3 linked regions of the Drosophila melanogaster genome follow. Changing the gene in region 2 together with the main gene of any one other region gives a genetic interaction. Each region holds a gene or a part of one and is shown on either strand. Other genes may lie near its edges. The genes, in order: Slik, rhea and sli.

Evidence for each region.
Region 1: of rhea (region 2) and Slik, changing one suppresses a phenotype caused by changing the other (phenotypic suppression), as found in Drosophila melanogaster (one study listed by BioGRID).
Region 3: of rhea (region 2) and sli, changing one enhances a phenotype caused by changing the other (phenotypic enhancement), as found in Drosophila melanogaster (one study listed by BioGRID).

The regions. Positions count from the first base shown.
Region 1 is NT_033778.4:24,398,609-24,409,069, forward strand, and holds the start of Slik (Sterile20-like kinase), read right to left. Parts: upstream 4,073-10,461; 5' UTR 3,953-4,072; intron 3,777-3,952; exon of another isoform or gene 3,227-3,776; intron 3,201-3,226; 5' UTR 3,055-3,200; intron 2,878-3,054; 5' UTR 2,762-2,877; coding exon 2,438-2,761; intron 2,373-2,437; coding exon 2,174-2,372; intron 2,111-2,173; coding exon 1,800-2,110; intron 1,733-1,799; coding exon 1,592-1,732; intron 1,496-1,591; exon of another isoform or gene 1,420-1,495; intron 1,284-1,419; coding exon of another isoform or gene 1,242-1,283; intron 576-1,241; coding exon 500-575; intron 439-499; coding exon 83-438; intron 27-82; coding exon 1-26. Other genes in the region: Rpn8 (regulatory particle non-ATPase 8), read left to right, coding at 4,582-4,756, 4,824-5,665; SerT (serotonin transporter), read right to left, coding at 6,844-7,089, 7,149-7,349, 7,917-8,211, 8,325-8,777, 8,834-9,044, 10,355-10,461.
Region 2 is NT_037436.4:8,540,512-8,550,972, reverse strand, and holds the start of rhea (rhea), read right to left. Parts: upstream 5,973-10,461; 5' UTR 5,884-5,972; intron 4,299-5,883; exon of another isoform or gene 4,098-4,298; intron 1-4,097.
Region 3 is NT_033778.4:15,916,916-15,927,376, forward strand, and holds the start of sli (slit), read right to left. Parts: upstream 5,204-10,461; 5' UTR 4,724-5,203; intron 1-4,723. Other genes in the region: bdg (bedraggled), read right to left, coding at 6,268-6,796, 6,859-7,094, 7,164-7,948, 8,007-8,286, 8,349-8,516, 8,580-9,766, 9,830-10,461.

The sequences.
Region 1 (10,461 bases), on a different chromosome or scaffold from region 2:
GGGGCCTTACCCTTTTTGACAAAGTGCTATGGGGGAGAATTTAAATCAGTTTGCATTACTTAACTGAATGAGTTGTGTTTACCTTCTTGTCGGATTCGGTTTTCTCAGATGTTTCTGCAACAGCTGCCACATCTTCGGGTTTCTTTTGCAGCACAGCCGCTGTGGGTTGGGCTGGTGGTGTAGGTGGCTGCTGAACTTGCGGTGGTGGCGTTTGTTGGGACGACGGCGGCGCTGGAGCAGGCACTTTGGTATGAGGCGGCTGCTGGGCTGCCGCTTCAGCATTGTCATCCTTTGTGTGGTTTGGTCTGTCCGGAGTGGTTGCTTTAGTTGTGGTTGTAGCTGCTGCTGCTGCAGTTGCCGCTGCTGCGATTGGTAAACTGCTACTTGGTTGGGACTGCTCTTTGGCATCCCGCAAAATGGATGTAGGTGTACCTGGAACTGTGAAGGGGTTTTTCGTGAGCAGGGTTTGAAAATTATGCACCAAAGTTCATATGCTTACGTTTGTCAATGTCTTGGCTCTGCAGCGAAGCAGAGTCATCGTCCAGGTCGAGCTGGAGCGCCGAGTTGCGGGGTTCCTGAGAAAGATTAAATACAGCTTATTAGCATATTCATACGTAGTGTCGTTCCTAAATAATTCCTGTTCGGCTAGCAGATCTACTTGTCTCTTACTACAATAGCGTTAGCAATCCTACGGCCAAACTATGCTTACATTCGGCATGCCGAATAAGCATAATATTCGATTCTGAAATTCCACCGAGATTCATTTTATTGCCATACCCCAAAACAGCCCTAAAAGAATTTGTTTACATCCGACGTTGAGCAATAAACGCATTGTTCGCAAATTCTATCTGTTATTGCTCCATAAACAATATCTAAGTCTTAACGTAAGGAGCTTATAGATAGTGAAACTGACACTTTTGTCAGCTATGTGCTGGTCAGACTGATTAGTAACTTAAAACCGTGTGTGATTGAAAGTGTGCTGCCTATAATTACCGCAAGAAACCGATAGCGAGGGCTTACGGAGGAAGCCAAGTACAATAACAAACACAACGAGCGAAGTATGCCTCCGACAGAGGAGCTAAGTGATAAGCGGCATTTGGCAATGCTGATAAAATAAGTAAACTAATTGTGGGTCCGCTTTTGAAGGACAGTGCCTGGGATGCAGAAACAGAGGAGGGGAGGGGTGCGGGTGCCAGGAACGGACGGAGCACGGACGGCTTGCTGTAGAACGACTTACCAACCCTCTGATAGAGCGAGCGCCGCTTCACTTGGCGTTTAAGCTTCTATATCAATTATTTCCAAGTAACCACATACAAATGATAAGAACAAACATTGCGACATTTTGGCGGAACAAAACAGAACGTAACATAAACGCAAGGCAAAGAATAGTCGAGAAGAAACGAAGATAAACATATAAAATAATGTATCGCGCGGTGCGATTTGGTTGGGTTTTCAGGCGGCAGCGTGTAAGAGAGAAGAAAGAGCAGTTGGAGAGGTGAGAGAACGTAGAAATTATCATCACATCTAGCAGTTGGACTACAAGGGTGCGGTGCTGGGCACAGGGATCCATGGGCTTCCAAGGCGCACTCACCTCGGTCTCATCATCCACCACCTCTTCCACGACCTCGGCCTTGTACTCAAGCAGCAGATCCTTGATAGGCTTGGCATCCAGATTTCTGTTGATGAAAGCGTGCTGCATCAGCACATCCGTCGTGGGCCTCACCTGCGGATCCTGTTCAGAAGGAATACAAAAGTAAAGTTAGAATGGAATGTAAATAACAGATTTTAGGGTTACCCACTTTGACTAAGGACTTCTTCAGGAAGTCGTTAAACTCCTTGCTCCATCGAGAAGGCTGCTCCAGCTTGGGCGGCTCGCTCTTTTGTATTTTCAAGAGCACTCGCATGGGCGACATCTCGCTGTTGGGCGGCTCCATCTGCGCCAGCTCAATGAGCGTGATGCCCAGTGACCAGATGTCCACTTTGTGATCGTACGGGTTGTCCCGGAAAGTTTCGCAAAGCACCAGCTCCGGGGCCATCCAGTAGGGAGTGCCAATGAAGGTGTCGTGCTTTTGCATGGTGTGCTTGTTTTTGGCCGAAACGCCAAAGTCCGCTGAAATGAGTTGATTTCACTTTGAGATCGTCTCGGCTTAGGAAAAGGGCACCGATAACTTACCCAACTTGACGCCACCTTCCATTGTGAGAAGCACGTTTCCTGCCTTCAAATCACGATGGATGACTTTGTTGCGATGCAGGAAGGTGAGACCCTCGGTCATGTGCTTGCAAACATAGGCAATCTGCGGCTCAGTCAGCGGCTTTTCCAGCTCCACCATAATGCTATCCAGGGCCCCTCCGTCGCAGTACTCGATGAGCATCTGAGAGGAATTTCAAGGAATGATTCATAATCCCGATAAAACTTGAAGTACATCGATATACTCACCCACAGCTTATCATCGATGGAAAAGGCCTCATACAGCTCCACTATATTTGGGTGCTTGATCTCCGACAGAATGTCGATCTCGACCATGTGATCGCTAAGGTTCTCCTCGTCCTCCAGCTGACACATTTTTGCGGCAGCAAATCGCTTCTGCTCCTTGTGCTGAGCCTTGTAAACCTTGCCAAAGGCTCCGTCGCCCAGTTCGCCGACCATTTCCCAGAACTCCGCCGGATCCGTGTCCATCTTGATGTTGTTGTACAGGCGCTTCTTCTTGGCCTCACCCCCGCCGAGGTGGAAGACCTTCTTCAGGTTGGTGATAAACGACATGTTGGCTCTCTTGTAGATTTCCCCTGCTTCTGCTGACGATGATGATTTCTTGGGTTGAGTCTACATAGTGAGCTCCTGGGCGAGAGTCCAAGCAGGAAAACTAGATTTGGTGAAAGCTGCGGACATTGGCAAGCGTTTATTGATTGAACGGGCAGGTGTATATCACAGACTTGGCAGGGTTTCAAGTCTAGCTCTAAGTTTCAATCTGAATCTCATTCTGAATCGGAATCCGGGGTGGAACTGCCCCGTTCTAGAACGCAGACCATAGCCCAGATATCGTGGCCTAAACTCACCTTCTTTGCAGCACTCTCTCCTCGGTTCCTTCTCTTTTTTTGTTCAGCGAAATAGGCCAAAAAGCGGGGATTGTGGGCTTGGTTGGCCCGTCTTTAGCGCTTCTGTGTTCTGTATGTTTTATAATTTAATTAGCAGCTAGCGAGCTCTAATATTTGTAGAAAAAACACGTACGAATGGGAGGGAAATGATTACAAACGAGAAAAAGTCAAAGACGTAGACAAAAGAGCGTGCGTGTGTGTGTGTGCGTGTGTCTCTGCTTGCGAGTATTTGTGAGCTGGTCTCTGGGCTTTTAAGCCCCTCTCCCCCTTCAAGACGGACACCCGAACACCTATTTACGCCGAAATTGCAGCGAAACCCGGGATTTACGGATGCCAAAGCTGACTAATTCGTAGAGGCGCCTTCAATTCGCACTGCTCAGCTCGTAATTCGTGAAATTTGTAAACAACACGCGCACTTTTAACTAAATTCAACATCCCATTGATGATTACGGAGCAAGTATAGCGGCGAATGGGCGTGAAACTTGAGGACGCACGCAAACGGAATGGGGTATTACCTCATTCGTACACAGTCACTTTCACGGTTTTCGGCTTTATCTATCACTGCACTATCGCTATTTTGACTGTTTTTGCCGCACACTAAGCCATTTGAAGCGTATTTTACCCCGAAAATGCTTGGAAATTTCTCTCGCGCAAACGCTTCGTGTTGCCACTGAGCTGCAATTGCACCCTGTTTGGCGATCTGGCAGCGCCGGCGAAAAATGGCCGTTTAGGTCATCTGTGCCAGAAGAGAGCAGCACTATTTGCCTTCGCCAAGGGCAAAAACAGAAACAACACACACTTATGCAAACACACACGCAGAGGGGGAAATAATAAGTTAAGTCGGCTGCTGCTTAGTTACTTTGCTTTACAGCTGGTTTTCGGCAGGTGCAGCCTCAGCAAACGTTCTTTTCCGCACTTCCGCTGTCCGATTGCGCACTTTCTAACTGTTTGCACGGCGCTTTTCCTCTCATGATTTTTCCACCAGCATTGTGTGGCCGTTCAACAAAACTCCAAAAATACCAAGGATGGGTGATTTTATACACCAGCAATCCGGTCCTCCTATACCCTTCCCTTTATAACATATAGAACTATTAGGTTTTCTTAACAGCTGTAGAAAATCGATATCAATTCACTACTTTCCAGAACACGACAACTTTATTGTTCTAAAATGTAAGTGTAGGAAAATAATGAATATGTTATATTTAATATGCTGTATTCCGAGTCCGAGTGTGACCAGTTAATCATTTTTAGAAAAGCATGCTTTTGCTTGCCTTGAAATAAATTCAGAAAGCGAGGCGTCGGCCACACTGTAAATCGTTTCTGCTTGTCATTTTGGCCTGAGTTTTTTGCCGCAAATTGCAGGTAATTTAGCGAAAAACAGGAGTCGCAGGAAGCCAAACCCGTCGAAAACAAATCAGTCCGGTACCTATCAATCGGCGCAGAGGTCATAGTAAGCCCCCGAACCGAAAACCCAGAAAAAGCACAAACATGCCGTCGCAGGAGGTGAGCGTAAACAAAGTGATAGTGCATCCATTGGTTCTGCTGTCCGTGGTGGATCACTTCAACCGGATGGGAAAGATTGGCAACCAGAAGCGCGTAGTGGGAGTCCTTCTGGGCTGCTGGCGATCCAAGGGAGTGCTCGATGTGTCCAACAGCTTCGCAGGTTAGTACTGCCTTTGAATATCCAAAGTCGTGGCCATAAAACAAAAGAATTCCCTCCCGACTTCCAGTGCCCTTCGACGAGGATGACAAGGACAAGTCGGTGTGGTTCCTGGACCACGACTACCTGGAGAATATGTACGGCATGTTCAAAAAGGTGAACGCCAGGGAACGGGTTGTGGGATGGTATCACACAGGTCCCAAGCTCCACCAAAACGACATAGCCATCAACGAGCTGGTCCGGCGCTATTGTCCCAACTCCGTGCTGGTCATCATCGACGCCAAGCCCAAGGATTTGGGCCTGCCCACAGAGGCGTACATATCGGTGGAGGAAGTCCATGACGACGGCTCTCCGACCAGCAAAACTTTCGAGCATGTGCCCAGCGAGATTGGCGCCGAGGAGGCGGAGGAGGTGGGCGTGGAGCATCTGCTGCGTGACATCAAGGACACAACCGTGGGCAGCCTGTCGCAAAAGATCACCAACCAGCTCATGGGTCTGAAAGGCCTGAATGCCCAGCTGCGGGACATAAAGCAGTATCTGCAGCGCGTCGGCGACAGCAAGATGCCAATCAACCACCAGATTGTCTACCAGCTGCAGGACATCTTCAACCTGCTGCCCGATATAACCAATGACCAGTTCACGGGCACAATGTATGTGAAGACCAACGACCAAATGCTAGTCGTCTACCTGGCCTCCATGGTGCGCTCGATCATTGCCCTGCACAACCTGATCAACAACAAGCTGGCCAACCGCGACGCCGAGGAGGGCAAGAGCGACAGCAAGGAGGCCAAGGAGAAGAATAAGGATAGCAAGGATAAGGACAACAAGGAGACCAAGGACAAGGACGGCAAGAAGGCGGAGGAGAAGGCCGACAAGGGCAAGGACGAAGGCGGCAAGGGTTCGCGCAAATAGGAGCGGAAGAAAAAGCGCAAACCCCGTCGCAAACGAAAGAAGCAGCGGGCGCAGGACTAGCTGCTGCTTCTTCTGTTCTCCAGGAAGTGGAACTCATCTGCAGACCATACGGCGAGGGTGTGCAGTGGCCTCAGAAATCAAGCATTGCTACCATTCATCGTTCATTTTCCACACGAAATTAAGCTCCCTCTTATTATTTCGCGTAACTAACTAATGGCAAGTTTATGTAATTAAAAATTAAATAATTTAAATACTCCTATTGTTTGCTTTCCTCTAATATTGCTAGAAGCAGCATACCTAGTATTAAAACCGCTCAGGCTTGTGTTTTTGTATTTCGTAAAACCGAAATTATATTTTAAAACAAACTAAACTCGCTGGAGAGGCAACGTAAATGGCTGACTTACGATTGCCTTTCCCCGAGCACAAAAACGGTTGAGTAATGCATTGTACAGGGCGTTCTCTATCTTAGAGCAGTTATTACTTAGAAAGCATTTTACCAAATTTCACTTGACTTACAGCTGAGCTAGTTAACGCTTACGAACTAAGGCTAAGGGTTCCATTGCTAACACCATCGATGACCCAACAACTAGAATACTTAGGTTCACTATGTGCTTGCAAAGCAATCAGAAACTAGATCAAACATTGAGTTCCTGGCACCTCCTTTCCGAATTGTAGCACTATGCACGGGAGTCCTGCAAAATGGCTGATTTGCAGGACTCCGGTGTAGACTGGAGGCTCACTTAGACCAGCCACTCGCTGGCCAGCGGGAACTTAAGCGGCTGGCAGCTGCTGAGTCGCAGCGAGCAGTTATTGTCCTCGGCAGCAAGTGGGATCCTGGTGGTCGCCATGGGATTGCTCTGCACCGAGCAGAGGCTTAAACTATGGCTGTGCGACTGCCTAAGACTAGAGCTAATGATATCGCTGCTGATCCGATGCTGATGCTGATGGTGATGATGATGATGATGCTGTTGCTGTTGCTGTTGGTGGTTCCGGCTCCGATACTGATCTTCCGACGGGCAGGAATGGTTGCAGTTGAGATTAGTTGAGTAGCAGCTCCTTCCCTCGGCCCCTGAGGTTGTTGGTGACAAGCTGTTGCTGTTGCTGCTGCAGTTGAGGTTGTAGATCTTGATGCTCGTGCAGCTGGTGCGGATGTTGACGTGAACCTGGGCGTGGTCATGTCACACCGAGGTGCCCTGTTGGCCGGGCACCACCGATCCGCAGTTGTCCTCCGGCTGGAAGGACTCCTGCAGCCTCTGGCGGCAGCCGCCTTTCGAGGCGAAGAAGAACTTGTAGATAATGTACATGGGGATGCAGAGCACCGACGAGCAGGTGACCGCCCAGCCCACCTGGTAGCTCCAGTCCGGGTAGTAGTACTCCTCGCCGAGCATCTCCTTGTAGCCCATGATGGAGAAAATGAATATGGTCTGTGGAAAGTGCGTGGTTACTATCTTAGCTTATCCTTGACCCTATCCCATCTCCTCACCAGCAGGAACACAGGGCTGATGTACGTCCAGCAGATCCGCCAGAATAAGCCTGGCTTGCTGCCCAGCATCTGTTCCACATCCGAGCTGAAGCGGTCCACTCCGTAGAACCAAAAGACTCCGGCTGCCTCCACGAAGACCACAAAGAGGATGGCCAACCCGGGTCCGTAGACATTCAGGAAGTTGACCAGCACCACGCCACCCTAAATAAAATGTGCTTTATTAAATTCCAATTCCCAATAAGGGGTAAATACTATTCATCATACACATGTTGGAATAAGTTCGAATTCAGTATCATAGCAATCAGATCCACTCAACAGGATCTCCCTTAACTGGCACTGATTAATGGCTGAGGCCTGAGTTATTGAATAGCTTGATCCCTTGACCGATACTGGTCACTCCGACCGGAGTGGCCAAGTGACCAGAACAGGCAGGAATAGAAAAGGCAGCGAATTACAATTTCAAATGTAATCAGATAAAGTGGCGGGGGGAAGAACCCGGTGGTGGTTGCTTGACCGGGCTGAAGGCAAACAAGTCCACCCGTCTTGACAGGTGATAAAAATGCAGGAGAGGAAGGGAGTGAGTGTGTGGAGATAAACTGGCGGACGATAAAAAGCACTTAACACGGCCATCCATCGACTCCTAGCTAGCATATTTGAACAGGGGCAGCCATCAGCCAGATGGAGCGTTAAATGGGCCAGTCGGACATGCATGCATATGTATGGCGAGTGCTTAGGAGTTAATTAACCGAATCCCAGTCGAGTACTCACGTAGGTCATCGTGGGAAGGGCGCACAGGAAGATGAAAGCCAGGAGCAGCAGGACGAACAGCTCCCTGCGCCTGCCAATCACTCGCGGATACTCGTCGCACAGCGCTGTTATCATCGCCTCCAATCCGCCAAAGGTGCTGTCCAGTCCCAGGGTAATCAGCATCAGGAAGAAGATGATGCTCCAGAACACCGAGCCACTCATCGTGGCTATGGCCTCCGGGTAAACGATGAACACCAGCCCCGGACCCTCCAGGCCCACCTTGTCGATGGAGGTCTTTTGGACGTAGGCCATGTACCTTTATGGGATGAAGTGACATTAAAAGATTTCAGATCTATAAGTTCTAAGCTCCAGTTATTGAGGTACTTAAAGTCTGAAAGACCCTTCGAAAAGAAGCTATCGAGAACTCACCCCAAAACGGAGAAGATGACAAAGCCGGCCAGGAAACTGGTCAAGCAGTTGATGCTGCTGGTGATGAGAGCATCGCGATAGCAGTTGTTGTTGAACTTGTTGTAGCTGGACAGGGCCAGCAGGGTTCCGAATCCGGGGCCAAGGGAGAAGAAAATCTGGGATGCGGCGTCGATCCAGACTTTGGAGTTCTTCAGTTTGTGCCACTCCGGGGTTAGGTAGTACTTGATGCCCTCGTCCGCGCCGGGCAGGGAAACTCCTCTAACCAGCAGGATGATTAGCACCACATAAGGAGCCAGAGCGGTGACCCACACCACCTTTCCGGCACTGCGCACTCCCTTCCACAGGGAGAAGTAGACCAGGACAAAGACCCCGAAGACGCAGAGTGCCAGCGTGGGCTTCACCGGACCCATGAAGTCCAGCCCGTTGCCCTTGTAGCTCTCCAAAACCTTTCGCCTGCAAGTCATTCGCTTAAGGACACAAATTTAGGAATATGATGCAGGGGTACCCACTCAAAGAACTCCTTGGCCGGCGACGTGGCCAGTTCCGTGAAGTTCTCACTGGTCACCTGCATGCAGTTCTCAGTGTTCCAGGGATTATCGCACGACGTCCACGGCAACTTGGATGTGAACGAGGCGAAGAGGTAGTATACCGCCCAGCCGATAATCGTGTTGTAGTACATGCCCATATAAATGTCGATTAGGCAGATCGCATAGCCCACGCCTGCAAGTTTGGAGCGCATTGTATGTTAAATGCTCAGTAAGGACCCTTAAACTTCCTCTGGGAACGCAAGAATCTTTCCCCGAGTCCCCAACGAATCCCCTAATTGCTCGCCTAACAAGGCTGCGAGTTGGAAGCCAACAACAGGTTGCTCCTGAAGCCAGCTCAACTAGGAGATAGGAGCGCCAATATCTCTGATTGAAAACGACCAACGGAGAATCGGCAAAGAAATTGGAATATTCCCGCGTGACAATTCGCAGTTTCAGCTTTTATACAAACCACCCTCAGAGGTTCGCCCGTCACTTATGAGGCCAATAAGACACGTCACGTGATTTTCTCCCCTTAAGTTTTCCACTCGCCTGGCTTTCCGTCCTTTCTTTCCGGCGCTTTTCATTTCGAGTCGCTCGGCAAAAGGTTGCCAAAGCAAACACTTGTTGAGCAAATGATGACTGCCGCAAAGTGGTGTTTGCTCTTGGACTTTTTACGACGAGGGAGTGGAGGAGCTGGGTGGAGAGAGATTTGGCCTAGACAAAGTGACTTGGCAGAAGTGGAGCGGTCTCTAAGCGAGCGCAGATCCCTAGGAGCAGCAGCAGCCCATGCATTTTGTTTGTCACCTAATGGAATTATCAACTCGATATGCAAAACTTTGAATACGACTTCCCCTTCCCCAGTGGATGGGCTGGCTGTCTTTTCATCGCTGGTGTAAATCAATTTGGAACAATTTAATTAGGGCCTTGAGCCCGGATGAATGTCCTGATTTGGGCCTTGTGCGTTCCGCCTGAATGACTCGGTAATTGTTGCAACAAACGGGTGCCTCTTATCCGTTTCGCCGCTTGATAATGTCGCCGGCATACACAATGAATGGTTCCTTTTTTGAAAGGCCCCAAACTTTGCTCCTTTGAGGTCCTGCGGCCCACAAGTGCGGGTGTCCTCGGAGCCTGGCTGAGACAATATTGCTCGGCCGAGCGTGAAATATCAGACATCAACAACACACGAGCTCATGTTCCGTACGCTTTTCGCAGGGCCACGCTGCGTATACTTAATTTCTCATTACAAAATGCTGGAGCCGCAGGCGAAATCAGTGCGTAAATATTGAATGGCCTATGGATTCCAATATGCAATCATGTTTTTTACGTTCTGCGACTAAAACTCAATATTTGAAATTCATTTAAATTGCCATTTAATCCGGAATATGTTCGCAAGCCCCAGGCGCATCCATGTTTATTTGCCCATCATTTTTCAAGGCCATGGTTACATGGTTACATGGTTACAGTACATTTGTTAGAGAAACAACTTCCAGTTTTTACACTCACCTTTTAGGGCCGGACAGATGCGCTTCCAGATGCTGAGGCAACCACATCGGTGGAACTGGCCCAGCGCCAGCTCCATGTAGAACAGGGGCAGTCCACCGAAGATGAGG
Region 2 (10,461 bases):
ATTTTTATTTTCACACTCACTCACTGCCACTGGCGACACACAAAGCAGTTCCATTGATTAAAAGAGCCACCCAATCCCCACAGCCAGATGGAAATAAATTGCGAGGCAAGGCCAAGCCTAGCGATAACTGCCGATGGACACGACAATCGCCGGAAAAGGGGAGCCATCCAGAGGAGAGATAATCAAATCGGGAAAGGAATGCATAAAATGTGGGGTTAACTACACTATAACTTCCTTAATGACGGCCAAGGTCCACAAGAAAGTTTTCTAGATTCAACGCAACTGAGTCACGGATCATAAATATCGCTTTAAAAGTCCATGATGATATAAAATTTAGTTCTTTATGTTTTGTTCAAATTTAAATGTTAAAATGGCTTATACACATTTCTCATGTGTTTCAGATATTTCTCATAAGCATAGAACCTTTTTTGTCACTAATTAAAAACCAATCAATCAAAATATGTATGCTAATTTGTTCGTCTAATGGTTTCGGTTAGAGAAATTTCACTTGGCGCTATGGGGCTATAAAATCGGAATCCTCAAGATTTCCATCAATTTTTCATTACAATTCCACACGGCGGGAATCCAGGGGGTGTGTGACAAACCGCAACCCATTGCAATGGGAATGCCAAGGCGGACTTATCGACTGACCGCATCGAATCGTTTCGCTGATGGACTGACAGATTGATGAAGTGCCCAAATGCGTGTTCACTCTCAGGCTCTCCGGCAAAAAAAAAAAAGCGCCAATGAATTACTGACGTAATCGGCCAGGGATTTACGACACCCACCGTGAGATATAGGAGGCGGCAACCCGATCGGTGGAGCCCAACCCAATCCAATCCCCACTGCCATCGGCGATAAACGAAACAAATAAAATGATACGTACACATCTCTCGCCAAGTTCGGTAGTCCAGTGGTCGATGGGGAAAAAAAATAAAATTTTTGCATAAATCTTCGCATGCGTTTGTTTGCATACAAACATGGTGACAATAAACGTTATGCCGCCGATGGCCAGACAACAAATGCGAATGAATACTTGCCGTTTATTTTTAGAAGCGAATGCATATTCTTTATCAGCATTAATAGTAAACAAGGGGCTCCATCTCTACTCCTTCCTGCCAGCGATTCTTAATGACTCAACGATGAGTGTGCGTGCGAAAACGGAATGCGAATCGAGTGAAATCGAGTTGAGTCGAGATGGAAATGTTCGAGATTCCGATTCAGATCGGTCGTTTCTGGTCGGTGCTTCCACCTCCGCCACTCGAGTTCCGCGTTATTAAGAAACATTCCAAAACAATAAACTATTCCACAATACGCTACGGCCAATCGAACTCAATATGGAATCATCTACGAGTTCTGAGTTCTGCGGCCCATTTTGTTTATTTAGCATTTCGGTTGTTTGATTCAGGTCCGGTGAAAAAGCGAAACATGTGTGCGGCAGCATTAAGCCCACATAAACTCACATCAGCCCCAAGTAGCTGTATCTGTTGTACAGAGAGAACAATATTTAAGATTTTCTCAAAAACGTTTATCAAGTTGCATAGTTGTAGGGAAAACATGACCGCTAAGCAGAAAAGTATGTTCTTCATATCTTAATAGATATACGACTTTGGTACAGAACCTAAGTTACAACATATCTGAGTGTTATCTTAGGACTTCTACACAAGATCAATAATATTGTAGATGGTTTGTTTGCCCAGTGTAGCTATATATAGCCAATGTATATTCAGCATGTATGCATTCATGTATCTCAAGTGCAATACAAAACCATTGAAAATGCTGAGGCGTTAAGAAAATAGAGCACACACACCAGTTGTTATTTTTATTTTTTAATTGTTATTACGCTGGTCGTTTTGCTTTTGTTCTTCTGGTTGCCGCCAGTAGTTTTTTTTTCGATATTGTAACGAGTTGAACGGGTGGCTTAATTTATTTTAATTGAGCTTGAAAAGTAAATCGAACAAATGGGCGAAAAATCGAAATATATAACAGAGGTAACATGGGTGAATAAATATTGAACGGTTCATAAGCGATTTTTACACTTTTAACTTTCACGCCCTATTTTAGTGTCATTTCACATTACCAAGCAATCAAAAAGTTCCCATCTCACGCTTGCCCAAAAAAACCAATTCAATTAGTCCCGAAATTATGAAGTAATCCTCGCTGCGTAAACATCCCCGGGACATCAATCTCGTATTCGAAAGTTGTATGGCCAGCGATCAGTGGAAGACCTTTGCACTCGTCTCGCCCCAAAGCAAAGCAAAGAATTAATGAATACAGCTCAATTAATAAAACGGCGAACGAAAAGTATGCAAAACCATGAAAAAAAAAACTATCCAACAGATACAAGTGGAAAATGCAGTCACTTGTCTGGCAATCGAAACGTGCCCCAAAATGGGCAACACAAGCTGCTGCCCACCAGTGTTTCCACCAGTGACCGAGTTACAAATCAGTTTGCTCAATGAATTGCCGCTCCAGCCGAGCCGAATGTGCACGCGGATCACTTAACAAATTCCGGGTAATACTTTTTGGATAATTGCTATAAATAGCTTATAAATATATAGTAAATCGAGGTCTAAGCAACATTCCAAACATGTGGATTATTATCATTGGATTGTACGGATACAAATATACAAACAATGAAGTATAAAGACATTACTGATATCAGCTTGCCTAGAAATAGGTACATATATCATGAGTTGAGTTTTGAGGAGGAAATCGAATTGCAGATAAGATGGTGAAATTGGAACACTCTCATACTTATTTTCCTTCGAGTGTTTTAACATGTAGTAAAGATCTTATCAGGAGAAAATGAAAGTGTTGAAATATTTATTATGAACGACAATGGGTCAGTAGAAAACAGAATTCCAGAAGAACAAAGTAACATGCATTCTCCAAATAAGAAACTCATATTTTAATGTTTTGATAATGATATTTAGATCTTTGAGCATTAATATTTGTGAAGTGTACTAATATCTTGGCGGATGCTGAGCGTCCCCACGTCTACGTCCGAAATATTTGGTAGATGTGGAGCCGATGCACTGCCCACACAGTGGAGCATGGAGTGAAAATGAGCTCCGATCTCGATTTCTTTATGTTTCCGAAGCGTGTTTATGTGGCGGGCATTCCAAAACCGAAGCCCACTGCTAATAAGGTCGAAACGCTCGAAAAAGTGAGAGAGACTGAAAATAACAACAGCTTTAAACGAGCGCATTGACATTTCGAGATAATGGATAAATAATATACAAAATACGCCCACAAAATGGAGCGACGGCGAAATTTGCCAAACAATCGGACAAAAAATGTGTAGAAAACAGGACAAAAGCCAGAGAAATTATGACAAAACATCGAAAGACGCGAGATATTTAAATCGGTGAAGAGAAGAGCGAGGAAAGAGCGTAACAAAAAAAAACAATAAATCTACGTACAGATACCAAACAAATCTTAGCGTACGTTGTATCTTAAAGATAAATCGCATTTGTGGAGGAGGGGAGTGGGAGGCCAGCCGCCAGCTGCTAGGCAAGCAAGAAATATAGAATGAAATATCTATATGTTTGTGTACACAGAGAATAATATAGTATTTTTTTGATAAACAGTAATATAAATAATGCAGTACTTCTTGATTACATAATCAAATACTATACATTGTTGTTGAATGGAACCCTTTGCTCAGGTTTATATCCATATACAAATACAAAAAAAAGCATCATCGTGAAAAGCGAATTATGCTAATCTGACTAGTCCTAAGATTTCGCTAGCACGTCATAAGATATAGCCTAGTGATCTATTATAATCCAAATTTTTTCTCTGTGGACCAGCGTAGTCAGGGGCAGACATCAAACGGCAGACGTCGACGCTGGCGCCGGCAGCGCGATGAGGTAATTTTCAGCTTGTTTTCTAAAACGCTCGACATCCGAAATGGGGAAAAGGGTTTTCCGATGGGTTTTTGGCGCGCATCGCGCAGGCGCAACGTGCATTTGGCGTTTGAACTTAGTTACACAATGGAACTGCCTTTTTGTGGCACATATTCCACTCGGAATGGATAAAAATAACACCATATGTCACACACTTATGACCGCGCACTCTCGTCATGTATATACCTTCTTTAATTCCCACAATTGGGCTGGAAACTCTTTTGATATTTGAACTTGAACGATATGCACGATATGCGATATTCATATATGTACGAATCGCCTATACATATATATGGGTAGATATATGTATATATATATATATTTCAATAGCGATATCGGGCGCGGCACAATCGAACGAATTGGCACCGACGACGGACGAAACTCGAATGAGCGGGCCATAGAAGCGAGTGGTTCGCTCGGTTCCATGGGCAGTGTGAGCAGCATGAGCAACAGATGGGAGAGCCGCGAAGAGAGCCACCTGCTGCTAGGCTTCTCTCCTCTCTGATTCTTCCGATTCTCCTGATCGCCGTCTGCAAATGTAAACAAAACAAAAGGTGCCAGCCAGAGGGAGGGCGGTGAAATGAAGGGGCAGCGGAGGAGAAGGTAGTGGCCACAAGGTGATGGACCCGTGCCAGTGGTGACTAATCTTTTGTTGCCCAACTTATGGCTCTTTCTTTCTTCTCAAAAGTGAGCAGAGAGGAAGCGAGAAATTGGAAGAGGAAGTGCGCTTAGTCACATGGGGTTTTCTAAGAAATGGACATTACTCCTGCTTTTCAAGGGCTAAGCTAGTCAAGCGATTGGAGCGTTGTAAGTATTAGTATTTTGAAATGTTTTGGTAATGACGTTTTGTTTTGATGATGTTATATGACCCAAACATTTCTTATCTATAATATCAATGACTCTTTGACGGACTAGATTATTCCCCAAAAGGAATGCTTCTAAACAATCAACAATATTAACGTAATCTTTATGGGTTCAAATCTCTATAGATACTATAATCTAAACAGGACCAGTCTCTTTTTAGGAAAGTATCTGCATTTAAAACTCTTACACAAACAGAATACATGAGAAATTTCAATCTCAGTTGAAATAATTGAATACAACAGTTTCCAAAAACGTGCATAAACAAAGGAGGCAAAATAATAGCCTGTTGACTTCAATTAGGTCCAATTATTGACGCAATTGAGGGCCTGATCCCGGGAAGAGTGAATCTCTATGCCACTGACAGCGGGATGTAGGCACGAGTCTTGTGGGTCCTCGTCTCGGATCTTTGAGGGTTGCAGTTGCACAGCTAACTCCACAATTAACTTGAGAATTGAAGGCAATTGCCAACTCCCGCGAATCCGGCGCTTCTTCTTCTTCTTCTTCAGCAACCGGGGGTTATCTTATCGCGTATGGAATGTACCCCATATACATATACACCATGCTATTCTGCACGCTCATCCAGCTGCTCAGATAAAGCCGTCAAACCAAACCAACTGCTGTGCTGATAATGCGAGGCAGTCGCAGTTGGACTCTCGTTAATTGAATTATATTCGCAGCTTTGGCTAAAAAAAAAATGTTGCACTTTAATTAGCATAAAACGTAGACGATGCTTACAAGCAAACAAACGAACAAACATACAAATGCGGGCGTTCCCTTTTTTTGCCCCCTTTTGTTGTTACACTGGAAACTTGGTTAAAAGGGCGGAATTCGCGTGACCGACAAAAACAAATGTGCGGGACATGTGGGAGAGACCAAAATCCGGACAGTCGGCGCCAACAACTGGGGGTAGGGATAACGATGATGACTCCACCCCGGAGGAGCACCCACTAGGCGGCAACAACAAAATGTGCGAACGAATCGAAATGAGTTCTTGTTGGCCAGGCCGCAGCTGAATCTCCACTGGCTTTGTTTGACGCGTTTTCATGCCGCGGGAAAGGGGCTTTAAACTGATTTGTGCACTTGGGGTTTTAAACATTGGTTAACTTACAGAAACACACGGCGAAAAGGGCTTAAAGAGAGCTAAAATCGAGTAAATAAAACTAACACTTTACAAAATATTCCGTAGTTAAGACAGTGTGACCGTGCGTCAAGCAGCTATCGATAAGTCATTGCGGCTATCGGAACCAATTAGCGTTTGGGTCACATAATTACAAAATAAATAAAAAATATATAAATTTACAAGTTCTAATCATAGTTTGCCTATACTTCTATAATATTTGAAATTACTACGGCAAGCAAAAAGTAGTCTGCACACAGAGCTGTTATGCCAATGGCAGACTGTTAAGTGCAGGGTCACCCCAAATGTAAAGGCATGAGCGCCAAATTTAAAATAAAACCCCCAACTAATGCAGTCTAACTAAAACAAGGCTTAAAGATTAAGCGATTTGTAGTCGAATCCTATAAAAACAACATATCCACATGATTAATGAAGGTTACAAGCCCCACCAAAGCGCACCCCCACACAAACTTGATAAATTTGTCTGGCTTTCCTGAATTTTCTCCGAGACGATCATCGTTTCCGTTTTGATTTCGGCGATTGGAGGGCAACCAAGTGTGCAACTTACAACCCTCAGAAAATAGACGAGCAATCTAAGGGCCGAAAAACAAAAACTAGCCAAAATCATAAAAATAAGCAAGCGAATTCATGACTTCGCCAAAGTCAACGGACCGCACATAGCGCGCGTCTTTGGGGGCCCTTTCACTGGGGTTGCTTTCCCTATAAGGCAGCGAAATAAAAATAAATTTAATGTTCCTGTTTTTTTCCCTTCTCCTTTCTCGACTTGTCAAGGATATCATATGCGCGAATACATGGGTATATGTGTACGCGTAATTTATGCTGCAAAACATCTCGAGCATAAACAGGAAACAAGCGTCCACGGTCCTTCTTTCGCAACACTCTTAAAAAATGAGAAGTAATTAAAGACAAGTTGCAAAATTATCAAAGGGGGGGATAAACATTCCTTTTGCTACTATCAAACTTGAATTTAATTATTGGAAATTTCAAGAGAAACATTTTAAAGCGAACTTTCAGAAAACCTTCATACATAAAACACTATATTCTTCATATAAAAATTTCTCTCTGTGCACAATGCCCGCCCCTGCGCGCTTGAGAAATTTCTTGAAACGAAGTCAAGTTCGTGGCTTGGGCGCAAATTCAATTAATTTCAATCGAACGCCTGTCGTTCTGGGCATCCGGCATTGGGCATTGGGCATTGAGCATTGATGTCCCGCGATTCGAGGCCTGCCAAACCGATACGCAGATAGAAGATGCAGGATGTGCAGATATGGACTCACCCCTCGGGCCGATAAATCTCGGAACTGGCACACTCGCTTTACACACACGCCCGTTATGACTGCTGGCCAAGGAGGAGCAAGCGAAATGGATGAGCAGAACGCATCGACATGTGTCCTGGTGCTCCTGCTGCGTCATTGCTTTAGTTCCGGTTGAGTTTGTGCCAGCGCTCGCCAAGATTTATGTCACTTTGTTGGCCCAACAAAGAGGCCAGGGAGTTTGGTTTTCGGTAATGGCAAATAAAAACCCGATTCGCAAATCCTTTCCTCGAGTGACCCACTTGGGATTTGGGACTTGGGACTGACCAGCAGCGAGGAGCAACGCTAATTGAGCGATCTTCCGGCTGGCTAATGGGTTAAACCGGCCAAGCCGAATGCCCATATATCATGTGCTTGGGCCGTGATAATTTCGGCATTTTATCAACCAAAATTTAGAGGGTTCTTGACTCTGCCGGAGATTTATGGCCATCTAATTGAGTTTGTAGTTTTCCGAATGCATTTCTGGTTTCTAGTTGCGGATGAATCTGAGCTCTTTGGAGACGAATAAATTGGTTGAAATATAATAAGTTTTTTTCATATTTTAAGTACAACAAAAACTAGAAAAACTTGAAAAACGTAGAAATTTATGATGACAAGAAGTTTGAGTGTTTTCAAAAGAACTAATTGCTTGAAATTTGTAATTGCTTCTCTGTTTTTAGAAACTAGTACCAGACACTTACAAAATGTTTAGAAATTATTGCTAAACAAAAAACGGAAATAAATTCATATCCATTTCTTAATACCCATTAATTTAGAAATAAATGTATTATTTAGTGTAGATTCCGCTTACAATTGTTGGGAAATTCGTTTCGAAACCTTTAAATTCGATTTGCTTCACAATTATAAAGTGAACCGTCCTTTCTCCCCAATTTGTTTAGCATTCTGGAAAGGCGTAAACTCGTTTTCATATTGCCCGACAAATTCCCCACAAATTCGAAGCACTCGAAGGACATTTGCATGCGGGCAGCTATGAAAAACTTATATTGAGAACAATAAAAATTTATGAAAAGCCATTAGGGCGAGGCTGGAAAAACAAGCAAACGACTACAAATTGACGGCAGCCGTACGACCCAAACCCCTTTTGGATGAATTCGAGATCGGGATTGAAGCTGAATGGAAGGGGAGTTTTTGGCCACAAATTATTTTTATAGCTGAGAACGATCCCAGGCACGAGTATGGCGAGTTATGCGCCGGAGAATCCTATAAGCAATCCGAGACTAAGCTCGTGGAAGTGCCCGGATGGACGTCTCGGTCGTAAAAAGATGGAACAAGCCCAAAGGAGTGCACAGGAAGAAATCATTGAGACTTTAGAAAGAGTTTAGTATAAGAACTTATGGTAGTTATGTTAAAACTGATGCAAGCATCTTTCACTGATCTATGAAATGTAATCTGTTTGAATCTTAGATACTTTAAGACTTTGGAAGACCTTGGCAATCCATTATAGCTATTTGTGTTTCTTTTAGAGAATTCATTTCTCTGAGTGCAGTCAAATGTGAAACTGGAGTGTTGTGCCGTGTCATTGTCATTGCCTTTGTCACTGGCGTCTGGGGGCATGGACATGGAAGAGAGCGAATTTTAATTGATGACGATTTCATTAAAATTTCGTGGCGGCCGTGCTGAAAATCGACATCCTGCAACCCCGCAGCGTGTGGCAATAAAAATGCAAACAAGCGGCGCGTGGGCAATGTCCTTGCTCCAGGATAGGAGATGATGAAGATGATGACGCTGGGTTAACTCGCCCAGCCAAGTGTGAAGGATGCAAAAAGTTAATCGCTCAGGCGGACGACACAAGCCCAAACCCAAACCCAAACCCAAGCCCAAGCTCAAGCACTTTGTATCTGGCCAGATGTGTTAATGTTTCTCGATTCCAGCCCAGGCTGGAGGGGTATTTTTTATTGCCCTGTCCAGGACATTCGGCATCCTGCGGGATGTGTGTGTTTGCGCACTAAGTAAATTGCGTAAATTTATGGCTGCGTAAATTGTTTAATGACTCAACAGTCTATTTATCCTGGCGAGGCCATGCACCGACTTGGCCTAATGGCCATGTTGAGGTTGAGTTCGTATCCGAGGATTTGGAATTTGGCTTGGAGTCAGGGGTGTCAAGTGGAGGAGGTGGTGCAGTGAGCTTGTTAAAAGTTCCATTCGTTTAAGGCATTTATTGACATTTCAAGGCATTAAAATGTTTATTTGCAGCGTGTAATTGAAAGTTTTATTAAATTTTTTTCAATAACTTGGATCAATTTTTTGATTAATGCCTCCTAAGAACTACTAGGAACACCTATATTTCCGTATCTTTATTAAATTTTTTCTATATTTATATTCAAAACAAATTTATTCGCTCTATAAAATCGTGCATTTCCTTACCAAAACTCTAACGTATAGCATCCATTTCGAAATGCATTTTATCTTAATAGTCTTCACTTAATTTTCCCGAAATGAGCATTTCATTTTAGTTTCTGGGACCGCTGACATGTCACTATTCACAGGACGGCCGCTTATCCTGGCTAAAGGATCTGCCCCGCTGAGACATAGGCAGCAATTAAGCAGGCATTAAACATGTAAACTGCTCGCAACGCCCCAGAGATCAAGGATTGGGCAAGGATGAGCATGGATGAGCCAGAGGATACCAGGGCGATGGAACCCCTCACCTTGTGGGGGTTGGCTGTTCAATTCCGTTTCCAATTCGCTGACTTGTCGCACCCAGTCAAAAAGCTGAGGACGATAAACGGCGCTGATAGCACAGCATTTATCAAGGAGCTCGGAACAGGCTCAATTGAGTTTCAAATTGATGTCACCATTATCGGGAGCTGTCATCTAAGGACCTGGTTGGGGTGACATCTACATGAGGGATGCGATGAATCGCAAAAGGAAAAAAAAAAGAAACATATAACAACAAGGAGGAGGGGCAGCGATGTATTCCGTATTTATTTATAATTTTTTCATCATTTATCAGCGATACTACTTTCTCACAATCCCGCAATTGCATATTTATGTAGATGTGCACTGTGCAATTTCAGTTTGCGCTTCGATTTAAGTGCTCATAAATAAAAATCCAAGCGAAAATCCACCCCGGAAAAGTGTGGACTGGGAAAATGTTTGGAGTGGGTGGGGGGTGCACAAATGGTATGGCGTCCACCCCGGGCAAACTGTCAAAAAGGCAACGGAAAGTTTGTAAACAAAACTAATGCCGACATGGGTGTTGATAAAGTTCTCCAAGCTTGTGGCACCCCAACCA
Region 3 (10,461 bases), on a different chromosome or scaffold from region 2:
GAGGCAGCGAGTATCTGGCGGATGCGATGCCAAGAGTGCCAAGTGCTAACGATTTGGCAATGGCCAGAGACATTGTCCCTCGTCTGTGGATCCATCTGTCCGTTCGTCCATCCGTCTGTCTGTCTCTCTGCTGGCCTGAGTGTCCCTAACCCAACGTGGCTAAATGTTTTTGCAGCTTTTGATTCCTAGAGATGGTGGCGTGAGCGTGGGAAATGACACTCCTACTATATACTCGTACATATATGTTTGGCCTAATCCACCCTCATAAATCATAAGTTAGCCCAGTTTATGGGCCCCAATAAACTTGTCATGTATTTCATGCACTGGGCGCGGGGATTTTTGTACAACAAATTAAATATGCAAATAGTTTGTCATATTTTATATTTGCTTTTAATTTCCTCGCGCACAACATTAAATTCCACGAATAAAAAAAAAAAAAAATACATCTCCCCTCTTGCCCTGATTTTTTCTAGCCATACCCTTCGCTTTATCTATGTCGGGCGATTAATTGGCGTTATAAATAAGCATTAACTGCTGTGGCACAACACAAATAAATTTCAATTTGTTGGCAAACGTGATCGGGTGTGGAGGGGGAGTGGAGGGGGGGGGGTCAGTGGAACTGAGAGGAGAAAGGGAATCTTTGGGATGACCAAGTCACGTGCGCATCTCTAGGAGCTGGCCGCGAATTGTGGCCGCTTACAGGTTTCGTTGCCTTTTCTTTTATATATATATACCCTACCAGAGAGTATAACTATTCTAATCAAAAATATGTAGTAAACAAATACGTGTAATATGGCATTTTAAAGATGTATATGCGCTTTGGTAATGCAGTATCACTCCATGTGATAATCTATTTTTTGTTGCATACTTGTATACACTTTTATCTGTATATTACGTTTATTTTACTTAGTTATAGTGTATCAAGTCTTCGGCTTGACAAACTCAACTTGATCCGTTGTCTTTCGCTTATTTTATTTTTTTTGGCTCGGATTTTTGTTGCCTGACTTTGGCTGACCAAAGGCATCAGACTCCGGCGAAAAATCCAGCATCAGCTTCAGTTTCAGCATCTGACTCTCGGGAAACGTCGAACGATTGGCATGCGAAGTGGAGTCAGAGGAGCCGAATTGGAGGGGTACTGGGGGTACTAGCCTCTGACATCGACCGACACTCCACTCCACGCTGAATTGCGAATGGAGCGTGGTTGCCTACATTGTAACTTGTTGTAGCTCCAACAAATACAACCTCGTACACTGTTAGTATAAATTCTCGCCTTTCATTTTGGCGAGTAGTCACGATTTATGCGAAATCATTATAGGCAAGTATTTCTCTTTCATTTTACGACGCTTTATCTGCAGGAAGAAGACACTACACTCTATATATATATAAAGAGTGTACCCTATAATTGCAGTCGAGTCAATTAAATACATAGATTGCAGCATGTCGATAAGACATTAACCTTCCCTCGCTGATCGCTCTCTCTCTCTCTCTTCCGCACAGTCCCCTCTTTTTAACTCAATCTTATTAGTTGTGACTTGAGCTTTTTGTTTTCGGCTTGTCGTGTTTTTCTTGCTTATTTTTTAGCCTTTTACAAAATGGCAGGTCATTTCACTTAGTCAAAAGTGAGGGAAATAGCGAAAAAGGGACAGGCAGCAGAAAAAGATAGCTGAGGTCTTCCTCGCCTTACTTTTTTTTAAAAAAAAACATTTTTTGTTTGCCCTTTTGGTGGGCGAATTTATGAAGACATGAAATGACTTTGATGTTTTTACTGCTGCAACTATGCGAAGATGTTTCCCGCTTGTGTGTCACCCCCGACCATGACTTGCAAGGAAAATGCTCAGCATTTTTGTAATTGACAAAATGGTTTATGTTTGGGGTTCCCTACGCTGTCCAGAATTCAGTGCTGCTAATCAAATTTGCTGAGAGGCATTTGTATAATTTGAATGTCTGTCCAAGTGCAATTTCAATTACAGTCGCTTAACTGTGGGAATTTCTGTATCTGTATCTTTAGTATCTGGCATCTCAAACTGCCCCAATTAATTGGCTGCGTAGTTGAAATTCCGTGCGATAAATGCGATTAATTGGAACGCTTCCTGCTGACCAACTTTATTTGCTGGACCCAACACCTGCTGCAGTCCCATCGACTTTCACTACGCACGGCTAACCCTAATTCCTCTGAAAAACCCAAAAAGACACGTCGAAGACGAGATAAACACAAACAAAACACTTGGCACCCAGCCGGGAAGGGGGCGTGGCTGGGGGCGCAGCCATCGGAGTGTGTAATCAACACTTTTATGTGATCCCCAATCCAATTCACAACTAATTACCAAAGCATCGATGGAATAGGAATAGGAATAGGAATTGGATTTGGATTTGGAATTGGCCTAGGGCATCGCTACATCGGCATGAAAATGTTGAAGGTATGGGGAGGGTTGGGGAATGGCATTTGGATTTCGATTGGGCATGGAAATGGAAATGAAATTGGGTGGCTCTCGCAATTAACGCTGGCATTAAAATCAGCCCAACGATTCCGTTTCCAATTATTTATTACACTTTCTGGTGCCTTTTATGCTGCTGCTTCTGCTGCGCTGTGCAGTTTGTTTAAACAAAATCAATCTAAATCGATTGCGCTACATTTGGAAAATAGAGACGTAAATCAATGGGCAGGCGACGGAGATGGAGGTGGGTCTGACCAGCCAACCAGGGACTACCAGAGATTAAAGGGCCCTCGGCGTGGCGATAACAAAGTGGTTTGTCCGCTGGAAATTAAGGCAAGCTGCGCCAAGTGAAGGTGCCGCGGGCAATGCCACCAAAAGAGGCAAGTACGTGTGCGTACTCTAAGTACATACACTGGAATTTACAGGGTATCGAAAGGTATGTACGATGGAGGAAAGGAATGTTTAACGGCTAATTTATAATCTTTGCTTCTCTAGGTCATAAAAATAAGTAATTAGACCACACGCCATATAAAATATGAATGGCCTTTTAGTATTTTTATAAATATGAAAATACAGGTAAATAGCTAGGCGAAAGAATACCATATATATAAATATCCTTTTGTTAGGACTTCATTTGCGTCACATCACCATCTGTTTAGTAACGTGAAATCCACAAAGGAAATAAGTTCTTAATTTATGCCGCCCCAATAACTTCATACATTACATCCATTAGTAACCAAAAACAAATCCGAATGGATTGACACAAGTCAAGAGTATCGATTAAAATGCTTTTATTGGAGCAAACAACAAAGGTTATTGAAAGTTATAACGGAAAGTTGTCGCGACTTAACTTCTGGCATGTGCACCTTTTATGATAATGTCATTGCGTATATGCCCCCGCCCACACTGTACAGAGGATATCGGTTAGTCGTGACTCCCGATCCCACGCTCCCTCCTCCTCAAGTGTTTATTTACACTTGTCTTATTTCTTGTTTGGAGTCTTTGGCGTGGTATCTTCTTCATTTTTTTGGTTTTTTTTTTTGTTTTAAGTAAGCGATTAGTGGCGGGAGACAATGAAAATTTGTCACTTGACAAGGCAAAAACAAAACGATTTCCATTTGCCCGACGACAAATGAGACATAAGGCAGGCACATAAGTGGATCCCAATTCTGCCCCTTAAATGCCAATGTATTGGAAGTAACAGCCAAATCAACAAAACAATCGTCTTGAGAGGACGTATGTGTGGGATGGAATGGTTCGGGATGGTATCGTATCGTATGGTATGGTATGGTATGGGATGAATCGGAAGCCCGCCCGCACACGCACTCGATGATTGTTATTAGTACATTTGCTGTGGAGTATATCTAATTTGCCATTGATGTGTGCATTAAGTTTGTACTGGGCGGCATACGGCATAGGAATTGTCGTAAAGCATTAGTGTCCCCCGAGATTAGAGCGAATGGAGGAGATAGGCCGAGGTGGAAAGGGGCCATGGCGGAAAAAGGCTGGCTCATCGCCCTTTTATTTGACATTGGGCAATATTTATTGCGAACTCATTTCAATGCTGGCAGAAACTAGGAAGAAAAGCTGACAGCGAAAAATGTACAGTGAAACCAGAATACCCTGGGCTCAGAAAATGTTACTATAAATACTAATGGGAAACCAAAGATGTTGTGGTTCTAATTGATGACATAATAAGATTATGTACATGAACTTATATATTTTTCAATTAGCAATTTGAAGGGGACTTTATACATTTAAAAATCAAATCACCTACGTAAGTGTAATATTTTTCATGTGACTGAGGCACACGATAGTTCCTTCTAGCCAGATGCGACTGTAGAAGGATAGCGCAGGCGACAGGATACGCAATACGAACAAAGCGGAATGGCAAAATACGCCATCAAAATAAATAAAAACAGGAGAAAACAGAACTGAGCGAAGGCGAAAACAAATTCGGTAGCACAGCATTCGGGGCTTTGGGCGGGAAAGAGATAGAACGAGGGGAGGGTTATACGTTACACTTCAACGTTACCGTTACGTCCCACCCAAAATGTAATGAAATCCTTTGTGTGCGTGTGCTTACGTGTCGGTGCGTGTATGTGTGTGTGTGTACGTTTTTGTTTGTCAACTTTGGCGAGGCGGGACATAAAAATGCTAATACAAAACACTAGAGCAAATTGCAGCAAAATAAGTTGTGAGTGGCGGCGGTGGAGGTGTGTGAGTGGCGAGCGAACTTGGCACCAGCTAACTAACTTTGCACGCAGGATTATCGCAAGGACACTTACCGTTTTAATCAGGCGAAAACACCGCTAATCCAATCGTAATCGTAACACCCACACAGACAAAGAAACAAAACACTAACACAACAAAGACACTAATTTTCGGCACTTTGCAGACGGAATTTAAATTCGACTTTTGCGCTTTTCTGCTGCTGCGATTTGTGCTTCAATTCGATTCGATGCGATTCGCGCAGACAAACGAAATTCAGGAATTTCAAGTGGAAATCTCGTTTGAGCACTTTTCGACCTGCGACTTACGAAGACGGCGCGGCAGAAAACTTTGGCCTTAACTTGGCTTTAAAATGGCCGTGCAAATGTGGATTGGCTAAGAACGCGCGACTTCAATTGCCAATGCACACTTTATGGTTTTTGCTTAAGTTTGGCAATTGCAAATTCTTTGCTCACCGGAATCTTCACTCTTGGTTTATACTATAATTCTTTTTGGACGCTCTACGCGACGCGATTGAAAGTGATGCGTGCGTCTGACCGCTCTCGTCGCCGTTCGAATTTTTTATGTTTCTGTTTCGCTGCCGAGCAGTGTTACCAGATGCAGGAGTAACCTCACCCGGCAAGAAGGGCCTAAAAAATACCGCGTTCGCCAACAGTTTAAAAGTTTCTTGTTCCAACTTAAATTTCAAATATTATGGTTAATAAGGGTCCAAAAACTCGTTCATTATTAAAGTGTTGATAATATTTTCATGAAAATATATATTTATTTAAAACTTTATAACTATCATCCCAAATTATAGAGTAGTTGTACTACACACATTGGCTTGTATAAGAACCCTTATCACTTGCTTTTATATAGGTCTCAATTGTTATTTATGTATTTCTAGCATTAAAATTACTAATTATAAGTAAAAATAACGGTATCAATTATTGTGTGAACTTCACAAAAGTTCTAGCCGAGACTCAACCCATTTGAACTGGTTCTTTGAACCAGCGCTGCCAGATATTAAAATAATAACCGCCAATTCGTGCTGATTTAAAAATTCCGCGGATTAACTTTTTTGCAGGCCAATCCCTTTGGAATATGCAAGTCACAAAGAAAACAAAAGAAATGGCGTGACATTTTAATCGAAATATGCAGCAACTTCCTGGCCCGCCTCATTAGGCGCCTTTGTTGGCTACGCCATCCTGGACTTCCGTTTATTTTCACTTTTTTTATTCAACTGGTCACGTTTGTTAATCGGCTTAGGGCCCAAGTACGTATTCCCTTAAATAGCTGACCCTCGAGAGCTGGGCACGTAGGAGGCCTACTCCATTGTTGGGATAATTTTAAGGGCAACTGTGCAGACAGGCGCGATCCGTAAGCCTAAAATATATGTGAAATGGAATTAAATGGGGTGGGTTGGATCGAACTGGGAATACCGGTTGTAGGGATCAAAAGAGCTCACACTTGGGAGTACCAACTAGTTGTTTTCGTTATTATTCGCATAACTACAAGGTAATATTCGTATTTAGATAACTAGCGCTAATCAAGTCTAAGAAAGCAAGCGGATATGTGGATCGCATAAGAGTTACGCTATGTACGGTACGATATTAGTCAGTTAAATCACAGATGTATTATTTCGCGCGCACTCCTCCGCCTGTCCAGCCTCCAATTCGAGCTCCAGCTCCACACCGGGCGTTCTGTCCGGTGGCTCGGCATTCAGCACAAGATTCTCTATGGATCGGAATGAGGCGTCCTCCAAGTGCGTGGACATGGCGGCGGTTGGGGGGCGAGGCAGGGTGCTGGCAGTGACCAAATTTCCGCCTCCCTGCGACTGGCGATGTCGCACCGAGGAGCGCAGTATGGTCACCACATCCTCCGCCGTATAGGGCCGCCTCTCCAGTGTCGAAGCACCCGAACGATGCAGTTTCCTGCCCAACGATTGCGAGCGTTGGGAGTAGCCAACGGGTCGCTGGTCGATCTCTATGGACTCGGGACTGCTGCTGGAAGCTGGCGAAGGATCCGCGTTGAAACTACTGCCAGCCGGATTGGTCAGTATGGTTAGGTAATCAGGCGGCGCCGCTGGCGAAGCAGACTCCGCATCGAGGGAGAGCACGGGTCGCGTTCGACTTGAGTCTCCGAGAACCCTGTGTCGATAAATTGGTCGTAAATAACTTTTTGTTTATATTAAGGGATGGTTTTTATGTACCTTCTTACGCTGCGGCGAATGCTCTGGCGCAGAAGCTTGGCAAGGCGGGCTCCAGTGGCCGTTGTGTAGGACGGAGGTGGTGTGTACTTTGGCGGAGCATCGTTCTGTGCATCGTGTTGGCCGCCCTCCGTGGTCTGGCCCAAAGCATTACGACGACTTTGGGACGCCGTTTGTCGAGCGGATGGACGACGCGGTTCCTCTCCCTCCTCGGGCGGTCGGTACAGCAGTTGAATGCGCTAAAAGAGAAAAGGAAATAATATTATTGAAAGTGCCAAATAATAAGGCAAATATTATTATAGACTCACCTCCAAGATATCGGGTGGCCCGTGCGCCAAATACCGGTAGATTTGAATAATAGCAGTCACGGGAATGACTAACAGCACTCCAATTTGGATAAGACTGCCCATCTTCCTGGACCAATACGTAAAGTATGACTTTCCACGCCAATAATAAAACTGATTCGACAACGAAGCCTTATAGTCTACGACAGACAATGTGATCAGACCAATGGGCAGCAAAACGTTCCAAGACAATGCCAAGAATGCCGACATGGACCCACAAAGCCTTAGGTCATTTACCAGATCATCTCCGTTGTACGGACGCCCCCGTATTAGAAACACGCCAAATATCTGAGCCGTCCAGATGATCGGAATGAACCAGGAGCCGCCCAGTAGAAAATCTACATAGTACAAGATCGAAATGCCCATCTCTGTGGCGAATGGAATGCTTAGGAGCAGACCAGTCACGCAGCTCAACAAAACCGAGCTCGTGGAATTACCTAAGGCACTTGAGATGGGTTTCCACATCACACACAGCTGCGCTAGACCAAATCCGGCGAACGTTGCAAAGGCCACTGCAGCCCAAACCCACGATATGCTATCACTGGCCAGCGAGAGCACGGCCGGAAAGATTTCCGAGATGAAGCGCAGTGCCTGGAATCCGCTCTCCACGTGAATCATGGTGCGATTCCTCCTGTAAGTCTCGCCAATGAACGAGGAGTAGTGCGGAATCAGCGAGCGCGGATAGGAAAGCAGATAAGGATTGGTGTTTGATTGCAGCGAGTAAATGGACGTGTAACAATCGGGATTCTCTGAAAAGCATAATAGAATTAGTTTAAAACTAAAAAAGAGACATGATTTAAAACTCACCAAACGATCCTGGCACATAAACGTATCCATGCTGCCACAGAATCTGTGCACAACACAACGCTAGCAGTGCCATTAAACCCAATCCGATAAGGGTAAACAATACCAGGAGAATCGCATCCCTCCTCAAAGCGGCCTTGTTGGCATTGGTGTGACTTCTGCTCGTAATAGCGATTACGGAGGCGCCTAGGAGACCCCAAGTAAGAAACGTTTCCTGCGTGGCTGCCGTCCAGCTATTTGAGTTCACCAGAAAGTCGTCGAAATCGCTGGCAGCAAAGATGTTCTACAAAAATTACAGAATATCGATAGTTTAAAGAGTTTTTTGTTGTCGGGTAACAAACTTACCTGTATCCTGCTGGGATCCACGACATAGACAAACTTAGCGGTCACTACCGCCAGAGCTACTAACGGCAGAGTGTAGATAATGTAAGCCAACTTTCCCAAGGACTTGAGACCCTTACAGAGGATGAGAAACACGGCCGCCCAAATAAGGGCCAGATAAAAGGCCAGCTGCTGAAGGAATTGGATGTGAGTCAGTTAGATGAGAAGCGGGATAGTGGGGAGGGCGAAACTTACCCGATCATTAACGTGGAATCGTATTCCACTGGCATCAGGATGATTGGCCAGATGTAGTCGCTGCAACACCACCACGTTGAAGTACTCGGCCACTGTTTGCGTGAGATTCCCCGTTGCATTCGATGCATCATAGCGATAGGGAAATGCCATCTCTTGCCAGCGATATCCACTGCGTGCTGCTGTCGGGAATACGTCCCTAAGGTAGACTAAAATCCAGGCCAGCGATACTGTTGAGTACAAGGCCAGGAAGCACTGCTGCATCACCAGAGCTATGCCCACTCCGGCGCATATCGGACTGATTTTCCACATGGAAACGGGACCAGCACGTATTTTGGCGCCCAAGCACATTTGCAGCCAAAGAAGTGGGATTCCAAAGATAACCGAGAGCAGAAGAAACTGTAGCAGAAAGTTGCCACCAAAGTTAATGGTGAGCACGGCAAATCGGCACATATTAAAGACTCCCAAAGTGCATCCGATCAGTGCAAGAGTACGACTTCCGGCATGGGGCCATTGACTGTTGAAACCGCACTTCTCGCGCAGCAGCAATTGCAATTGGTGGAGCGGCTCTAGGGGCGTCGTACTGCTGGCACTGCACATGGTCGTGGTTTGCACGGGATCCGGTTCCTGATCGTGTTCAGCAGAGCTGCTTCCGCTGCTGCTGCTGTCCGAGGGCAGGGAAACTGGACTGGGCATTCGTGACGAGCGCGCCGAGCTGAGTTCCGAGCATGTGGACATAATTGGGTGCGTGGGCGTGTCCTGCAGCTGTGGTTCTCTCATCTGCACGCGCGTCGGAGCGCTCTGTGGCCGACTCTGGGCTAGAATCAAGGGGCGAACTGGAGTAGGAGGTCCCTCCAAGCGGCGACCATACTGCCGGGGTCGCGGCTCTTCGCTCGATGCCCGTGCGTTCGTTTGCAGGAGGTTGTCGAAGATGTGCGCCTCTGTGAGCATCTGAGAGCCAACCGTAGGCGCTACCGATGCTTGGCAATCGCCTTGGGAGAAACAGCGACGCATTTCCGCATCGCGTCTCGGTGGCAACTCCACCAATAAGGTCGGTATATCGTCTTCCTCTCTTTCCATCGCAACTGTAGCTTTGGTGTCTTCCTGCTCGAGGGCTCGACGCATGGACTGTCGCCTCCAAACGTCCATAACGGGCTCCGTGGAAGTCTCCAATGATCCGGAAGAGGAAGCTAGAAATAAGAAAAGTTTAGTTGATTGTTTTATATATTTTAATCAGCTAAGAGATTACCAACCTATTTGGCTTGTAGGCCTTAATGAACAGCTGAAAGTCTTCCTTAATTGATGTTCTCTTTGGAAATCACCTTGTGCCGCCTCCTGATCTTCGCTTTTTTTCTTACTTGACTTTTTTTTCCTACTTAAAGGCAAAGTTCTAGTTCTAGGCTCTCGTTTTAAGCTGGTGTGGCCGTCTATAATGATGAGTGAATCTTCGCGGTTTAAGGCATTATCCATCTCCTCCAGATAGTTGTCCAGATCCATTAAATAATCCTCTACCTTGTCATCGTCACTTCCGGAATTCACAGATCCGCTCGAGCAGGTGCCATTCAGCTGCGAGACATCGTGGACATCCAGAATGGCATCCAGTTCGCTGAGCACACATAGGGCTTCATCCGTTTCAGCAGCTTGTTTGATCGGTGTGCTCAATGGCACCTGCTGCATCTCCTGGCTGCCACAAAAGGCACTTCGTTCGTCGCCCAGCTCATCTCCCAGTCTGAAGCTGATTGGCTGCAGCTGGAGGGGTTGTTTTGTCTGCTGGTGGAAGGCTTGGGGCGTCTGCTGAATCTCGATGAGATCCTCGTCGCTCAACTCGTCGTCGTAGTAGGCACAGGCCTGCCGTATCGATTCGCTGGACAGGCTGTTCGAGAGT